Linked DNA regions of Drosophila melanogaster. The protein of the gene in region 1 interacts with the protein of each later gene in a pairwise test. Each region holds a gene or a part of one and is shown on either strand. Other genes may lie near its edges.

The links.
Region 2: the proteins of CG11581 (region 1) and CG14369 interact in a two-hybrid assay, tested with the Drosophila melanogaster proteins (one large-scale study listed by BioGRID).

Annotation. Positions count from the first base shown.
Region 1 is NC_004354.4:14,175,054-14,179,084, reverse strand, and holds CG11581 (uncharacterized protein), read right to left. Parts: upstream 2,163-4,031; 5' UTR 2,139-2,162; coding exon 1,134-2,138; 3' UTR 629-1,133; downstream 1-628. Other genes in the region: CG1368 (uncharacterized protein), read right to left, coding at 3,557-4,031.
Region 2 is NT_033777.3:13,590,901-13,594,228, forward strand, and holds CG14369 (uncharacterized protein), read right to left. Parts: upstream 1,758-3,328; 5' UTR 1,715-1,757; coding exon 1,376-1,714; 3' UTR 732-1,375; downstream 1-731.

The sequences.
Region 1 (4,031 bases):
CTCCCAAAAGACAAAAAGACATTTTTTACCATTTGGCAAAGCCATAAAAAAGTTGTTATAAAGACTTTTAATGTATTTACTGTATAACAACAACACAATCAAAAGCCACATATAAATAATTCAGTGGAGACATCAAAAAAAAAAAAAAAAGATGAATAAAAAATCAATTCGGGCTAGTTGAAGTCTATAGACTTTTGAAACCAAACATGGGAGTTGAATAAGTCTGGTTTTAAACTATGGAAAAATCCCCTTTTCGATAACCATCTTAAGTTCACGAAAAGAAGTTCATTATCATAAATGTATGTATGTTCTTTAGGGGAAACTCTTTGACGTCAGAAACTAGTTTGGCAAATTAAAAAAAAAAAAAAAAATATCGCGAAGCTAAAATTAACTCAGAAGGTTCTTTGAATTTCGCTGAAATTAACTTAAATCGATTAAGTTTGCCCTTTAGGTGGGCAGCTTCTTTCTCTACCTCTTTTCTGTGACGTCAATTCAAAATTTATACATGTAAGACAATCATTTGAATTTATTCGTTTTTAAGTTGGATTTATTTTAGAATATGAAATGATAAACATAAATCCATTTTTAATGATCCATTGTTGTTGCATGATAAACTATTACTGCTTTTAAGTTGTGGATGTTTTTTTTTTTAATTCTTGTACCATTTTGTTTAAACTTAATTCCATCCAGAAACATATCAGAGTTCAATAAACCTTGATGGTGAATGTGCATAATTATCGTAGGACTTCGGTTTTAGTCCACACCCAAACCACTAATCGTGTTTTTTATTTCAGCCTTTAATCGCCTTGTATTGACTTTTGAAGACAACATAGTTTATGAACACATATGTGTCTGGCCAGGGTATGCATAAAACATAGGTCTGTCTATATATATGTATCAATCACGACGATAGATTGTCTCGTTTATGGTTATCAGTCAGTTTTGGCAAAGATTTCGATTAGCATAGAGACAATCGTTTTGTCTGTCCGCATCTTTATGGCCAGCAGATCAAATAAATGAATAAAAACAAAGGCACAAAAAATACAAGAAAAAAAAAAAACAAAATATGGATCATAATTTATGGCGAACATGTTTGATGAACTCCCCAATTTGGGGCTTCGAAAGCCATCGCATTACTTGGCCCTCTTGTAGACATAGCCGCCATTGGATGCGTAAACCGTATCCGCCACACTCTTGGGATCGTCGGCCGATGGTGGTGCCACTACTGTCCTCTCACTGTCCTTTGGTTGCTCCTTCGCCGGCTCATCGGAGTAGCCCGGCGGAGCGGGTCCTCCGAAACCGGGTCCAAATTGTTGGTAGGGATTCTGGCCGGGCACAGGTCCGCCGAATCCTGCGGGCACATTGAATCCTGCTGGACTGGGTCCTTGGAAGGGACCCTGGGGATTTGTGAGGGGAAGTCCCTGGTTTGTCAAGAACTCCGGTGGATATGCGGATCCTGGGAAGGGCCCTCCCTGTGGCGGGAAGTTACCTCCTAGGAAACCATTGCCCGGTATTCCCTGTGGCCCGAAGGCACCTCCTTGTGATGGGAACACTCCCTGCTGTGGTGAGAAGGGAGCTCCTTGCGTTGGGAATCCATTGCCAGGGATGCCTTGTGGCTGGAAGCCAGCTCCTTGTGGGGGAAACCCACCTGCCTGCGGGAAACCACCTGGCTGGGCAAAATTACCAGCTTGCGGACCGAAAGGACCACCTGGTGGCAGTTGGAAGGCCGCATTCGTAGGACCCCCTGCGAATGCGCCTCCATTGGTAGGACCCGCCGGGAATGCACCTCCGTTGGGATAGGCCGAAGGCACTGGCCCAATACCATGTCCTCCTCCCTGCTCGACAGGACCTCCGCCGAAGCCGTAGAATGGTGGATAGATGGGCAGAGGGAAGTTTGGCGGCTGGACAGGCTGTGGCAAAACGTTGCTGCCCGTGGGAATGGCATAGCCCGGCGGCAGTGGCAGTCCAGTCGATGGATAGAATCCAGATGGATCCTTCTGCACCTCCTGGCCATCAGCAGCAGACCGTGTGGTTGGCTCCAGTTCCGCACTGGGCGGTATATATTCCCTGGGCAGGTGACTCACATCTCCGTTGATCAGGGGCAGAAGTAGGACCACAACGGCCCATGGCTGCATCATCTCGAGCTCCGGTTTGATCTCTGGGAACTTGCACGGCGACGGTGGCTATGCGGCCACGGGCCCCAAATCCGCCATATATAAGACGGCATATCAACATATTACATAAATTCGCGGCCGGCTCATTTCACTTTCGCATTCGGCGAACGGAAATTGCTTTGCATCATCACAAAGGTTCCATAAATAATCGCCAATCCAAAGGTGATCGAAGGTGCGAGGGGAGGTGCCAAAACTGAACTATAAAATTTAATTTAGCGGCCGGATTTTACATAAATAAACTAACGCCGAAATCGAATGTTAAATTCAGCATCGCACAAAGAAAAGAGGCGATAATGAAAAAGATTCAATAAACGAAAAGAAAGAACAATGAAAGGGTAACATTTTATTTGATTTAGATTCAAGTTCTTGCTCAGCTTTATGATGAATATTAAATTTTAAAAATTACTACCTGAAAGCAAAAGGGTGTTAATTAAAAACAGGAAAAACGTCGAGGAGGTTCGTTTTATTTACTGTAATATACTAAATAATGGTTTTGAATGATTTCAAAAAGTCTTGAGTAAATAATTTTTCAGAAATGCCAAGCACTCTCAGAAAATGTATCTGCAAGTCATAGTTTTGAAATACTCAAAAGCTTAGTGTTAAAACTAGGAAAACCATAAAGTTTCATGCTATATTTAAACTAAAAGCTCTTTGAAAATGCTTAAAATAGTCGCAGCTTCCAAGTTTAATCAAAGCTGCAAGCTGTTTATAAAAAGCCCAACTTAATTAAAGCTTTATATTATATTTTTTAACGCTAATACTTAGTTAAAACATTGATGTATGTTAAATGTTTATGTTCTTGTCCTACAGGTTTTAGTGTTAACTAGTCGAAGAATTAAGCTTTTTAATTTTGAAAATTACCATTATAGACTAATGCCAATAAATCTTCTTTACTTTGTATGGACATATCATTCGTATACTTTATTATATTTTTATTGGCTTATAAAGTGCCACCTTTTGTCTACTCTGAAGTATTAAGCACCAACAAGCACTTGCTTTTGACGTTCGATTTTGAAAACGAACCGCACTCAAACCGCATCAAAACCGCAACAAAACCGCACCTAAACCGCAACCAAACCGCACTCAAGTCGCGCGTGGTTTTTAGTACGCTATTTTGGTATCCTGGTCCGGAATTTTGATATAAAGTGAATAGGGATACACTTGTTAAAAATTTTATTAATATTAATATTAGACGCTTGTTTTTATAACTCTGAAACCCATTTTAAAAACAAAAGTATTTATTTGGATTATTGATGTTTCGGTTTATTTCGTTGTAAACAAAAGTTTACAAAACAAAAAAAAAAAATATATGGTTAATTTGGGCAGTATGTAGTTATGGACACTGTTTCGTGTTCAGTTGCAGGCCTCTTCGTTGAAGATCCCTACTTCCTGTAGACGTAGCCACCGTTGGAGGCGTACTGGGTGCCCACATCCACGGAGGGTGCAGAGTAGCTCACCGATGGGGCGGAGTAGCTGACGGCAGGAGCGGAGTACGACTGCTGGACAGCAGGGGCGGAGTAGCTGACCGATGGAGCGGAGTACGACTGCTGGACAGCAGGGGCGGAGTAGCTGACCGATGGAGCGGAGTACGACTGCTGGACAGCAGGAGCGGAGTAGCTGACCGATGGAGCCGAGTAGCTCACAGAGGGTGCCGAGTAGCTAACAGAGGGGGCGGAGTAGGTCCTCTGGACAGCTGGTGCGGAGTAGGTCCTCTGGACGGCCGGTGCGGAGTAGGTCTGCACAGGAGGCAGGTACTCGTTGCTGGGGGCGACATACGACTGCTGGATGGCTGGAGCGGCGTAGGTCTGCTGCACGGCTGGTGCGGAGTAGCTCACCGAGGGAGCGGCGTACGAGCTC
Region 2 (3,328 bases), on another chromosome or scaffold:
GTCCCTTCAAATACTAATTAACTAAAACAAAGTTTCCCTATCGTATAGAACTAAAAGTAATTTTAAAACTCTTGAAATATTAAGCAGAACTCTAAATTGAAATCATGGTTTAATGTATGTTGAAGATTTTAAATATCCGTCCATGTATGACCAAAAAAATAAATCAATTTAGTTTTATATAATTATATATGGATACAATTATTTCAATTCGCCCACTAATTAATACTTCTATCATTTTTAACATTTAGCAGGCAATATAAAAATGCATTTCCATTGAGTTTGTGAGACTGTTAAGGCAAAAATCACCATTGCTGTTACAGCAGTCCTGTTGAATCGATAATTAATTTTTAATGATTTACAACGTGACAACTGCTTGTATAACGATAATTCAATATTATAGCAGATCAACTATCAAAACTGAAACATTTTCCGCTGCGCTCTCTTCAACAATTCACAAACCGAATGCGTTCATCTGATCCCATTGGGAGTGAAGTTCATAAAAAGGGCATAAATTATGTAAATTGATTAAAAAATTGAGCATACCTCGGCAATAAAATGATTATAAATCTGAATGAATAAACAATAGCCACTTGCGAAACTGCAACAACTGCAGGACAGCACTTATAATAGAGTAACAATTTACAACTGCCGGTGGAGTGGCAATTGAAACTAAGACCGTTGAGGAATGTATTTTATTTGATTTGGCTGGTTCCCTTCTTTGGTTGGTTGTTATTGTTGTGCGTTTAATGAATTTTATTGATTGCAAATACAAAATAAGAACAGCATCACGTAAATGGAAACCATTTACAGCTTAAAAATATTTAATTACCAACCGCCCATTGCCCACCGCGCCGATTGGGCAGCGGATTTTCGATGGGTTGTTGTGGGGTTCGAAATGTTTCAGGTCTTGCCACCAAATTGCAATTAATCTTCTTTTAACAGCAAACTTTTGATCCGCTTTATTTGCATTTCGCTGCGGCCCCACAACAACAACAGCAGCAACAAATAAGGTGGTCCCACGGAGGGAAAATAACGAAAATGCTTGTCATAAAAAATTATCAAGGGTTAAAAATTATGTTACGCGTTTCATTTTGGTCGCTGCGAAATGATTTATGCAAAATCTGTGCAAAATGAATATAAATTGTGCAATTTCATGTTCTTCATTTTTTTTTTATACGCGCCCCACCTCTTCAACTTAGCTCAACTTTTTCCCTGTGTCCGGCAAATTAATTTAAAAGCACCAACAATAAGTAAAATAACAAACTGCGAAAGGGTCGACGCCGCTCCTTCCTGGCCATTATTTATAATCTCACATTGAAAAGGGGTTCTCTAATCGATTTTTCGCTCTGTCTTTTCGTTCTCTCACAAATCTGCATTAACCGATGATAATTTTCTGATAGCCCAGGTAGCCGGGATAGTAGCCACTGCCATAACCATAATAGCCAGGCGATGGTGAGCCATAGTAGTTGTACGGATAGCCAGGATATGCCCAAGAATAGCCACTGGCCCAGTTGAGGAACGGCAATCCGCCGATGCTGCCGCTGAAGAAGATGCCACGCCTTCGACGAACCGGAAGCAGATTTCGCTGCGAATCCGCAGCGCCGCCAATTTCCTGCTCCAATGACAGCAAATCCGTTTTTACATAGCCAACTGGTGCCACATCCTTGTCAACAGCCGACGCGCCACTCAAGTGCGTGCCCAGCAGCAAAATCATCGCCAGAGGCAGCAACAGCAATCGCAATTGCAATGGCAATGGCATATTTAATTATTTAATTTAACGATGAAAATATGATATTTATATTTAATTCAATCGACAAACCGCGTCAATGATTTCCACACAACTGCCAGTCAAAGAGCCGCCGCTGTTTCCTATTTATATGTAGAGTGAGTACTTCGATTGAATTTAATGCCAACACCATTGGCGTTTGTTTTTAAATTTAAAGCTCGCTAATTGAAGCCAATGCTAATGCCTTCATTCAGAACGCCCGCAAAAAATTGGTGGCCAATAAAAAGCAGTACAAGAGCTGAAGACAAAAAAAAGGTTCTAACAAATGTGACGTATTAGTCGAGCCAATCAATGTGGTATAGAATCATAGGAACTCAAAACAGCAGATGCAATGAAGATTGGATACCCTAATGTTATTTATTTTAATATAAATAAAGATACTGCTAATAGATTTATTAACATTAAATTATGCAGAACTTTTTTTCTATAGCTATGTTTTCCCAACTTTAAATGAAAAACCAAGCACATTATTTTCAATGCGATAGGTGTTCGTTTTTAAGTATCTTAATTGGAGGCAATTAAAATTTGTTTATAAAAAATTCAGGAGCAGTCAAAACACGATTGCAAAAAGTCATATGAAATAAAGCCGGGAAAATTGTATAACTCAATCAATACGAACACGATACTTTCATGTTGCTGTTTTATGTGAAAGGTGCAATTTTAAAACGAATTTTTAGGATTATGTAACCTATTTAACCTACTCGAACCGAGAAAAATCATTTAATGTGGCTTTGTGGCTTGACCAGGGACTCACAACACCCTCTCGAAGCTTATACCTAAATCGCTTTATGAACCAAATTATGAAGGCTTGACAGCATTTGTCTGATGCTCGTCGCAAATACCCTCACTACTGCCATTCCGACCGAACACCACCCAATACCACTCATTTGCCGCCCGACAAAAGTGCCAGACCTTGTGTCCCTTTTCACACATTACGCATACGCCACGTTGTTGCGTTCTTTCATTGCGTTGCGTTCGCTTTGCTAGCTCGTTGGCTGCCAATTGACACATTTCATGTTCAGATATGCGTAAATAACAATTATTGTAATTTTTCAAAGCGCTCGTTGCGAGACAAAGCGCAGACTTGTGACAATTCAGCGATAATACATAAAAGCGTAACCTTAACCGACAGCGTGTAAACCTTGAACTTGAGTGACATGGGCAAAAAGGGCGCCAAATATTTTTTTTTTTTCTTTCTTTTTTTTCTCTTACCCTCTTTTGTGTACAATGTTCCTGGCTGCCGTTGTACTCCTCACCCCTATACTACAATATATAAATATGTGCCGATTTGCCCATGTCGGCGTGAACATACAACCACATATGTGTTTGCCAATGTGTCAACATTTTAGATTGCCTTGCATGATTTGCAAGAAAAATGAAGACAATAGTTGAGTTTTACACTCTCCACTCAACAAATTCAGCAGAAACAACAGCAACACGAGGGCCAAGTACCGCTGTCAGCATGTCACGCGATTTGTTGCCTCCGAACGAGTATGAAATGAATATATTTGTTATAAAAGAAAGTCATGGCCCGCTGTTTGT